3 linked regions of the Mus musculus genome follow. The protein of the gene in region 1 interacts with the protein of each later gene in a pairwise test. Links are inferred from orthologs where the notes say so. Each region holds a gene or a part of one and is shown on either strand. Other genes may lie near its edges.

Region 1 (3,751 bases):
TCCACAGGCACAGCACGGCAAGCATAATGATTAAAAACATCAGGGCTGGAGATGAAACTTGAAGCCCTGAGTTCAGATCCCCAGTGTTAAACACTGGGCACGACAGCATTTGTTAGTATTCCCAGTGCTTCCCTGGGAAAGCAGAGACAGGACGATACCTGGCGATGTGTTTATAAAAAAAAGATAAAGAGGTATAAGATATGTTCTATGGGGGTGTGGTGAGGTATGGGGGAAGGGGCTGCCTCGGCGGGTCCATGCCAAGGCACCCCCTACCCTCTGAGGGACCAGCCACATGATGGTATAGAATAGAGCTTATTCAGGGCATGGGGAGGGAAGTTAAGAGCGTAGTAGAGGCAGAGAGAGGGAGAGAGTTGAGAAGTATAGGCCGGGCATGGCCATGAACACGTGGAGAGAGGGGGACGGGGAGGGGGAAGGGAAGAGCAAGAGAGAAGCAAGGGGGAAGCAAGAGTAAGAGGGAGGAGGGGGCAAGCAGCCCCTTTTATAGTGGGTCAGGCCTGCCTGGCTCTTGCTAGGTAACTGTGGGGGTGGAGTTTAGACAGAATGCTAACACCTGGGTCTTTTTGGACAGTGTGGCCAATTGGTTAGCTCCGGGCTTAGTGAGAGACCTTGTCTCAAAAATAAGGTGGGTTAAACAGTTGAGGAAAACAGCCAACTTCTGGTCTCCAAGTACACAAGCACATGTACAAACATATGTGAACCCATATACACACACAAATGAAAAGGTTATAAAAATAACCAAGATTGCCAGGCGGTGGTGGTGCACATCTTTAATTCTAGCATGAAGAAGGCAGAGGCAGGAGGATTTCTGAGTTCGAGTCCAGCCAGGTCTACAGAGTGAGTTCTAGGACAGCCAGGGATACTTAGAGAAACCCTGTCTCAAAACAAAAAACTAAAAACAAAACAAAAAAACCCCAAACAAAAACCAAGACCAAAACCGAAAAATCAAGGTTAATTCATTACCAAGGAAAGAAGCTTTTTTGTTGTTTTTGTTGTGATTTTGTTCTTTAAAATAAAATCTGGGTACTAAAGTCTATTGTATGCACGTGATGCCCCAGGCATTTACAGTCAACACTCACTTTACCTCAGCAACCTGAAGTCTGCATGGTCCATTCACAGTAAGTGACCAGGCCAAGTGAAACGTGGTTATTTATTTATTTGTCTGTTTATTTATTTAGAGGCAGGGGCTCACTGTGTACACCAGGTGGGTCTCAAACTCTCAGAGCTCCACAAGCCTTTACCTCCTAAGTGCGGGTCTTAAAGGCGAGCACCACAACGCCCTTGGCTATCCTTTATATTTTAATTTTAGATATGTTCAGAAACACCAATGGATTATAATTAGCGCAGTTCTGAGCACGTACATTAACATGTGCAGGAAGTATGCACCCGAATCACCAAGCCCAGCTATAAAAAACAAATAATAATTTACTTTTGTTCTTTATTGGTATGCTGAAATTCTAATCTAGATCATAACAGCTGAATTGGATTATTCAACGTAGCTGATTAATTTTTTTTTTAATCCCCGTTTTTATAGACTGGGAAACGCGAGTAGGACAGGTGATGGGAAGTCTTCGTCCCACGGGGGGTGGGGTTGGGGGTTAGTGGCGGGAGAATAAAGGGAACTAAAACCTCCTGACTCTGACTCGCTGCTCTCACCAACTTTGGAATACGCTGTCAACCTCAGCCGCAGGTGCAAACCGGCTGGCTGCCGAGATTGTTAACTGGGGACCAGCACCGGACTTCATTTGTCAAGTATGCAAAATACGAACACTGGTGATTTTCCGTCTAAGCCTCTAATGTAAACCTCCTATTTAAAGTCAATCCGTGATCACGACGCAGCTGCTCTGAGGTTCACAAAGACAAACAAGGTGGGAGGGGAGTCCCGGGCCGCAGTCACCCTGGCCCGGTGGGTGACACCAATTGCAGAGCCCCGTGCCGCGCCGCGCGGCACAGCTCCGCGGAGCAGCTCGTCCGGCCGGTCAGGTTTCCCCAGCCCGGGAGCAGCCCCGGCCCGCGGGACCCCGGCCTACCTGCGCGCTCCCCGCCGCCGCCGCCGTCTCCCAGCCCCGCGGCCGCGCGCAGCGCGCTGCCGCAGCTCGCCGACAGGTTCCCGGTGGCTCTGCGCGCCAGCGTCAGGATGGGCGCCGACCAGCTGTCGGCCACTCGAGGCCGCGACGCACTCCGCAGCTCGCCGGGACTCGGCAGCTGGCTCCGGTCCACGATCTCGAACGCTTCCCCGGACTCTAGGCCTGCTTGGGGCTCAGGCTCCGGCCCCGGCTCGGACTCCGGCTCCCGCTCCGGCTCCGGCTCCGAATCCTGCCCCGCCCGGCGGCATTCTCCGCGGGCGGCCATGTTGTTAGGTCACGTGACCCGCCGCTGCCCTGGACCGACGACCTTAAGCCGCTGCGGCCTTGCTCGCTCTCACCTGGGCTTGCTTTCCTTGTATAGCATTCGGGAAAGTACGATTCCTAACCGTAGGTGATTCCCAGCCCGGAGCACTTGGAAGTTACTTTTGGACTTTCTACTTCCCACCCCGGGAATGCGCCTTATTTTAACGTTTTGCGACACAACTTCCTCTTTTAAACTTTCATTTCACATGCCTTTTCCCCCTTTGAATCAAAATCTCACTGTTGGATTTTTATTTGTTGTTGTTATTGTTGTTTCTTTCCCCCACACAAGGGAGACATTAAAACAGGCCATGTAGCCAAGTGGTGGTGGGACAAGCATTTAATCCCAGCATCAGGGAGGCATAGGCAGGCAATATCGCTGAGGACAGCAGAGTCAACGGAGTGAGTTCCAGGACAGCCAGAGTTACACAGAGAAACCCTGTCTCAACAACGCAGTCCCCATCACCCCCAGTAGGCCACTTGGCAGGGGTGTGCTTAACTACTTTTTTCTGGGGTGTGTGTGTGTGTGTGCGCGCGCGCGTGCGCGCGCGCGCGGCATGGCAGTTCTGGGAATTGTACTTCGTATCTCATACATGCTAATCAAGACCTCTACCACTGAGCTTCACCCAACCCCCAACACACATAACCAACAGGACCGTTGAATTTGTGATCCTCCTGTCTCCATCTCCCAAGTGCTTCTGACCCCACACCATGCTAGGCAGGCACTCTACTAGCAGAACTAGCAGAGCTATGTTCCCAGTCAGAATTTCAGTCTGTAGCTCCGGCTGGCCTAGAACTCAGTAATAGAGCACTGGCCTTGAACTGGTGATCCCCCTGCCTCTGTCAAGTGAGTATGGGGATTTTATGTGTGCCTTACCATGCCAACTCATGTCTAATATTTTCGACTTCATATTTTTCGGCAGCTTTCTTCAGAACAGGCTGTAAAAGGGCTGCCAAAGAAATTAGGACAGATGAGTCAGAGGTGTGTGTGTGGTGGTGGGGCTTTTTCTTTCAAATCAAATGAATCTGAATGACAGCCTAGCAGGCAAGGTCAGCAGTGGTGGTCTGGAAATGAGCTCTGTATTCTGCTATTAATTAAGTTGATAGGAATTGAACCAACCTCATTCCTAAGTGATAAGGAAACGCAGCACACAACGTACCTTGTGATTATTGTCTCTGCTTTCCAACTCTGGCTTGGATAAGTCACCCTACAGATATGTGGTTATTCAGCCTATTTTCTTACTAGGGATAGAAGGGAATTTGGCAAGATGGAGATGCGAATGTCATGAGAATGTAACAATTTGCAAAAAAGAATTTAACAGTTTGGACCATGTCAAACCACAGAA
Region 2 (3,751 bases), on another chromosome or scaffold:
TTCTGGAGAAAATCCTTCCATCTGTATTCACTGACAAAATTCAAAGAGGCTGACTGAGGAGGCACTAGCTGGGAGAATCTGCCAAAATAGTGAAAGTGTTCCAATGAAGTTATATTATTATTTTGAATCATGTAATTAGGTTATTTTAGCCTACTTGTACATTTATTGTACTTCTTAAACAGAAGAAACATCACATATTTTAGTTTCTTGAGTTGACGAACCTTATTACAAACATATAATGTGTTTTGCTTAAGAATGTAGAATCTCATGAAAGGATGTAGAATAACTTGCCTATATAATCACTTGCTTTAGACTACTGCAATTTTTGAAATCTATTTTTAGGATTTCTGTCTTCTTGAGAGGGTATGATAAATAATAGCTGAAAATGTATGGGAAAATGGCTCAGTGTTAATGTGGGGGAAATGTCTAGGGAATTACAGCCCAAGCTAGAAGATGATATGGGTAGGCCTTACAAATAAGTTCAGGTCTCTAGAACCAGGGATATTAGCCCTGGGAAATGGATATTCATAATTTCTTTATGTTTGAAGATTAATGGGGAATGATAATTGTATTGGAAAATGCTCCAATTTGTGAAAATGTTGATTTGAGAAATCAATGAGCAGTGTATCCAAGCTCTAGAATATATTTATGCATTAGTGGTTTGTATTTAGCACAGAAGATATCAAAGTATTTTAATCATAGTGTAAAGTTATATAGAACTAGACACTGACCCTAAATTAAAAAAAAACATAAAAATACAAATGACATATTGGGGAAATAGCTCACAACATACATGACATAAAAGGGTTAATGTTCTTTTTGTTAGACAGAAGTCCAGGCTGGCCTTCAACTACTTATCGTTCTCTTGCCTCAGCCTTCAGAGGGCTGGAATTATAGGGCTATGCCACCACTGTTGGTGTTGGGATAATCTGTAAAGTAGTCCTACAAATCAATACTATATAATACATAATAAATAGTAAATATGAACAAGCCATTCATACAGAGATCCCAGCAAACATATATAAGAGACCTTTCTTTATTCATGAGAACTTATATAAAGTATTTGCCAGAGCTTTGTACAAGTGGGAAGTTAGAGGCAACTTAATTACCTAACTAGTATCTTCTGCGTCCAACTAATGTTCAGTGGAGAATGAGTCAGTGTTTATGAACTGAGTCCTTTTGCTCTGGTTCCTCCTGTTCTACCTTACTTTAGTTCAAACTGTTCTCTACAAAGTTTTTATTAGTTTGTTTTCTGTCACTTATGTTTTATTTATGCTTTTCCCTATTCTGGGCATTTCCTATCTTTACTTGGGCTTCATCTTCTCCGGTCTCTCCTCTGTATTCATACATGAAATTACAAATAAATACTACAAAGGAAGAGCAAAGGATTGTGAAAGAAAAATAAACATGCTGAATGATTATGTGCCCAGTGGTACAGTAGGGAGTGGCATATAAATACAAACAACAAAACACTCTTTTGTGTGTTGCCTCTGTTTCTGTTTCTTCTGACCATGCTAGTACTGAAGTTCCAAGAAGTCAGGGGCTCTGACTATTTACTTTATATGGAATTCTCTTATGTGAGTAACCTCATACTATTTCTTCAGAAATGATTCCACCCTCTGGCAACTGACTGTATGATGGTTACAAGACAGTCAATTAATCAGTCTCCATTTCCTTTATATTAGGGCATATTCATTCTCTCTGTGTCTCTGTCTCTCCCTCTGTCTTTTCTTCCCCACAAATATAAACGGATATATAGAAAGAAGTCAATATACATCTACCTACCTATAGCTTTCAGTTATGTTAAAATGACTTGGATTTTTTTAAACTATGAATCATAGGGTCTGATTTTGATGAATTATACAGTGATCAATTTCAAGTTATTTATTAGCTACCAAAAGCAGATTGATGGAGTTGTGGTTCAAATAATGTGATAATGAATGGCCTTCTCCTGCCTGGGCGGTTCTTTCCTGCATCGAACTCAAAGGTAGCTCAAAGTGGGCTTGAAAAGCCCCAGACAGACCCTTGTTTGTCACCCTGGCAGCATCGCGAAAAGAACCGGGAAGTCCTCTTTCCCCAGGGACTGAATAAGCCCCAAAGACCCTCCCACTGCTCGCGCGGGCCCGTGGTGCACTCCCACCTGAACCTCTCTTGACCCGCTGTATCCCAGATCTGGAGCTTGATGCGTTTTCCTGGCTCGATCTCCACCAAACGGGAGAAAAAATCTACCCCCACGGTGGGATCTGAAACCTGAGCAAAGCGGCCCTCGGTGAAGCGGCGGATCAGGCAGGACTTGCCCACCGTGGAATCGCCGATGACAATGAGCCGGAACTGGTACAGCCAGATGGCCTCCATGGCAGTGGCCTGGCAGGACTCTTCGGCCCGGGCCTGGGGAGGCGGGAGGGGGCGCCCCACCAAGGCCTTAGCACAGATCAACCCGTTTCTAGATCGGCCGCGAGAACATCACTGGCCTGGTAGCCTGAAGCAAGGTAGGCCCAGGCGCTGGGGGAACGAAGGGATGGATGCTGCGCTCGCAAAGGTGATGAAATGGCAGCAGCATCAGCACCACGCACTCTGACTCATCACTGAAAACCGAGTTACTGTAATTCTCTGCGTAGACGCGGCAGTAGTTTCACCACACTGTCTGTTAGAGGAGCGCACACAAAAACGGACAGGAGAGTAATGTGTTCTGTTTTTAATTATACCGACCACTCTCCTATTAATATAAAAATTATTATAAAAATTAATATAAAAATCTCTCTGCCGTTACAATTGCAAATCTAATTAATTTTTATTAAATCTAGAAAAATACATAAAAGTAAACAAAAGTCGAATAATTGTCTTCTCCGGGTTTCCATGCTCAAACATGCAAATATTATTATTCAGGCATATGCATGTGCATTTATTGCTATTTATTTTTTAAAAGACACAAAATTTAATCCTATACTTTTTGTGCAAATAACAAAGTGTCATATACGTCTCTCCATTTCCAACACATTTTTAAAAGAACATTCACACTGTTTTCCCTAATAGCTGTCCTAATTTATTTATAACCAGTGGTGTGCAAGGGTTCCCTTTGCTCTACACACACACACACACACACACACACACACACACACACTTGTTATCTTTAATCTTGTTCCCCTCTGCTGATTAGAAGAGCACAAAATCAGTCTCCTCATTACCATAAAATATGCAATAAAGTTTCCCAGCAGTAGGAGAAATCCCAGGGAGTCAGCACATTTTGAGTGCAATGTATAAACCTTGCTATGGGTAATCCGCTTTCATGATCATGGCATATCTTGTGCTAGGTAAGTATCTCTTTTGTCTTTTTGATAATTGTCCTTCATATCTTGGTGAGATGATATTCTACTGTGATTTGCACTTTCTTTATGATTAGTGATATTGAATATTTTTAAGATTTCTTTTCATGATTATTTGCATATATTCTGAGAAATATGTTTAGATTTAATGCTTATTTTTATTGGATATGTTCTTTATTTACATTTAAAATGTTTTACCCTTTCTCGGTTTCCCCTCCAGAACCCCCCATCCCATTCTCCCTCCCACTGTTCTATGAGGGTGCTCCCACACCCAACCACCCACTCCCACTTCCTGGTCCTGGCATTCCCCTACACTGGGGCATCAAGCCTTCACAAGACCAAAGGCCTCTCCTCCCATTGATGTCCCACAAGGCCATCCTCTGCTACATATGCAGCTGGAGCCATGAGTCGCTCCATGTGTACTCTTT
Region 3 (3,751 bases), on another chromosome or scaffold:
AGGACCCAGTGAGAGCAGCCTCATCTCCTCTCCAGCTGCTTCATATAAACAAATCTACAACATGAAAGTTTGTATTTTTATGTCTACCTCCCATCAAACCTGGTCTCTTACTGAAGCGGAACAACCTCTTCAGTGAACTGAGCTGTCACAGTGACCACATAATGTCCCCCTGATACGCCAAGCGGTCTTACGGGAGGTTACAAGTCCCCCAAAGAGTAAGCCAACAGCATTTTCCTGATGAGAGGGTCCTGTGTTCCCATCAGAGTCTCAAAAGCTAACCCAACCCAACAAGGCTGAATCTCTGCCTTGGAACCACATGCTCTCACTCAGCCCACACAACACAGAATGAAGAGGACAGGCCGGCCCCAGGCACTTACGTTCCTGTGTCTCAGCAGCCTCCTCAGCAGCCTCCGAGACAGCAGCTTCTCCCACACTGCCATCCTCACTGCCAGCTTCCTCATTCATTTCTGCATCACCTACAGCACTGTCATCTTCCTCTTCCTCTTCCTCCTCCTCCTCCTCCTCCTCCTCCTCCTCCTCCTCTTCCTCTTCCTCAGAAACATTCTTTAATGTAGCAAGCAGTCTGTGGTACCCTGAAACGTGCTCTTGTTCACTCTCTGATTCACTTTCAGAATGTGAAGAATCTGAACTCTCTGGCTAAAGAAAAATGAGAAATTAATATATATATATATTGTTGTCAAAATAAAAATAAGAAAGAAAATGTGAGAAATACATATTAGTGGAATTTCCTCAACCACAAAGAAGGAAATTATATCACATGCAAGGGGATGGATAGAATGGGTGATAAGGAAGTAAAAATAAGTCAGACTAAAGACAAGTAATATTTTCTCTTGCACAAGGAAACTAGATTTAAAAGAAATTAGAAGTCATGAAATCAAAAGGACAAGAATTTGGGAAGAGGAAAGGGATGAGCAGAGATGGAAGACAAACAGTCAAAGGAAGGAAATGAATACGATCAGATAATTTTGACTGGAAAAGTCCTTAGGAAACCCGCTACTTTGTATAATGAATATACATTAACTCACAGACAAAACAAAAATCCCTATGAGCTTTTCAGCAAATATTACAGTCTCATCTCTTGAACCAAGCCGGGCATGAAACTTAAATAAAACAGTTAACCAAGCTATGGTTCTAATTGACATCAGCTGCACGTGGAAAGAAAACTGACTTTTCAAACAAAATTTCAGGTTATGAGTTTTAACTTACATCTCAGACATCAGGTTTCATGTTGCATGATGTAAGAGGAGAATTACAAGCAAGTGTCACTGTCTGAGTCTCCGGGCCCCTTGTCCATTTTATACTGTGTGAAGCCTTTCATGCACAAGGAGCCAGCACTCTGATGAACCCCTTCCACAGAACTTAAGACAGTGTCATGGGGTAGTTTCCAACCATAGCCTCTCTCATCACATGGTAATTTCTACAGCTGTCTCCATCACTTACAACCAATTGGGTAGCATTACTAAAATCACAGCTCACACCCAAAACAGAGAAACACGGGGATGCAAACCAAACTTTACGTTTACACCCAATCTTAAAGGTAACAACCCAATTCCAACTACTATAAAGAAAAAAAGCATTACCAGCTGACAAATCTGCGGCTTGGCTTCCTTCTTGGAAACCCTAAAATAGAAATAGATAACATTAAACTTTAGCTGCTAGTTCGTAACAATCACGAAAAGGCATAATGATTCTGCTTTAAATGAATACCAAAAAAAAAAAAAATGTCCAATACAGGATAATATCCAGTCAGTGTAAAAAATGAAATTCTGCATGCACAAGGGCAGAGATGATCAGCAGACAAAAGGGTAACAGACAAGAGAGCTCAATGACATCTCTTAAGAAAGGATAAGTCAGAAACTGGCTTTTAACGGCACACCGGGGTTCACCTCTCAGGGCCAACTTTATCTCCCGACCTCCCGTCCTGTTTTTGGAGACCCTTACGCGGCCCTGGCTGGGCTAAGCTGCGATTTCGCGCCTGAGCCCGCGCGTGCTCGGATGACAGGCAGCACGGCCCGCGGTCTCAGCAGGTCCCGGTGCAGAGCGCACCTCCGCAGCGGGGTTCCCGTCCTGCACCGACCGGACCCGGCTCAACTCGGCCGGAACCAGCCCTCCCGGCGGCCCGCGCACCCCGACCTGTCGTAGAAGGGGTGCTCCTCGCCGAAGTCGCGGAGGTGCTTCTTCTGCTTCTTGGTCATGGTGCTGAGCATCTGGCTGCGGCCCCGGTTCCGGCGTTTGCCCATAGCGGAAACGTCAAGCTCGCCACAAACAAACAAACAAAACACAAGGTTCCCAGTGGCAAGTTGTCGCTGTCGCACGTGGGCACGCTGGCTTTACGGCGGAGGCGGGAGCCGTAAAGCAAAGCTGCTTTACGCCCAGAGAGTACGACAGGCGTTACACCCTCTGGTCGCTATACTGCCCCCTGCCGGAGCGCCTCTAGCACATAGGCGTGTCTACGCATGCGTGATCGGAACACCAGCTCCTAGGGCTGCAGGGACTGGCTGTCTTTCCGGGATGGAGTGGCTTGCTTTGTGCTTATCTTTTACCTTTTTTTTTTTTTTTTTTTTCTCCAAAATTGAGGAGGACGAGGTTGGTGGTCCTTTGTCCCTCTCCCAGGAGCTAAGAACTGAACCCAGGACCTTGCACTGGTTTTCAAGCACTAAGCGAAATCCACAACCGCGTGGTTCGCTTTGATATGTCAATGTATGCTAGCAGAAATGGTTGAATGCTACTCAGAAGAATAAGGACCATCGCTTAAGGGTGCCCGCACACCCCACTTAACGGCACACTGTCCAGACGGATCTAGCGAGTCAGTCTGTTGAGAAAGATGCAGACACCGATGCTTAGCAAGAAAGATCATTCATTAGTCTCTGGGAGTATGTGAGGTGATCCTCTCCTGACATTGCTTCTTTAACAAAAGCAGAAACACACAAGATAAAGTAGGATCTTGTATGTGTTATCACCCAAACGAGTGAAACTGTACATTTAAAGTTGATGTGTATTAGCCTGAGTGTGAGTAATAGCCTAAACGGGCCAGGGGCGTTGCTCGCTCATATGTAGGGTGCTTAGCCAAGGTACTTTTCAAATCCTGGGGTTTGATCTTTAACACTGAGCAAAACAAACCCACACAGCAAATAAACTAGTGGTGACTCACACCTGTGATCTCAGTCCCCGGGAGGCCGAGGCAAGAGAATGAAGTGTTAGAGACCTTTACTTAAAAAATAAAATTGAGCCGGGCATGGTGGCACACGCCTTAAATCCCAGCTCTTGGGAAGCAGAGGCTGGCAGATCTCTGTGAATTTGATGTTACCCAGGGAAAATAAAACAAGACCCAACTTCTCTAAATAAACAAAGGAACGAACAAAAATAGCTGAGGCCTGTATTTCAAGGACACACAGCAATAGGTGAGGCTGTTTGACACCACACAAAGACATACTTCCCTTCAAAACTAACCGAGGTTCAATGTAAACAAAGTACTAGCTCCAGCTTAGACTCAAAGCACAACTGGAGACATCGAAACATCTTTCTGTGGAAGAGTAGGGGTTTACTCAGGTCCACCTGTCCGCCCTCTGTTCCAGGGTCATCTACTACTAATAATTAGGGTGGGAGTGGGAAAGCCAGTGGTGGTGGGGGACAACCCCCCCCCCCCAGCAAAAAAGTATCAAAAGCCATGCAAACAGAAAGGGTGGTAGCCAGCACCTGGCCTGGCCTAGGAACTCATTAATAGACATCT

What was found.
Region 2: the proteins of Rufy1 (region 1) and Rab39b interact in binary tests that used the Homo sapiens proteins (3 or more experiments, as listed by UniProt). The two-hybrid records come from large-scale screens. The link is inferred for Mus musculus from reciprocal best matches to the Homo sapiens genes RUFY1 and RAB39B.
Region 3: the proteins of Rufy1 (region 1) and Utp25 interact in binary tests that used the Homo sapiens proteins (3 or more experiments, as listed by UniProt). The link is inferred for Mus musculus from reciprocal best matches to the Homo sapiens genes RUFY1 and UTP25.

The regions. Positions count from the first base shown.
Region 1 is NC_000077.6:50,428,736-50,432,486, forward strand, and holds the start of Rufy1 (RUN and FYVE domain-containing protein 1), read right to left. Parts: upstream 2,391-3,751; 5' UTR 2,371-2,390; coding exon 2,049-2,370; intron 1-2,048. UniProt on the Homo sapiens protein: Activating adapter involved in cargo sorting from early/recycling endosomes. Regulates retrieval of proteins from endosomes to the trans-Golgi network through interaction with the dynein-dynactin complex.
Region 2 is NC_000086.7:75,575,653-75,579,403, forward strand, and holds the start of Rab39b (ras-related protein Rab-39B), read right to left. Parts: upstream 2,580-3,751; 5' UTR 2,356-2,579; coding exon 2,141-2,355; intron 1-2,140. UniProt on the Homo sapiens protein: The small GTPases Rab are key regulators of intracellular membrane trafficking, from the formation of transport vesicles to their fusion with membranes.
Region 3 is NC_000067.6:193,127,890-193,131,640, forward strand, and holds the start of Utp25 (digestive organ expansion factor homolog), read right to left. Parts: upstream 2,363-3,751; 5' UTR 2,262-2,362; coding exon 2,155-2,261; intron 2,095-2,154; exon of another isoform or gene 1,963-2,094; intron 1,642-1,962; coding exon 1,602-1,641; intron 658-1,601; coding exon 378-657; intron 1-377. UniProt on the Homo sapiens protein: Component of the ribosomal small subunit processome for the biogenesis of ribosomes, functions in pre-ribosomal RNA (pre-rRNA) processing. Essential for embryonic development in part through the regulation of p53 pathway.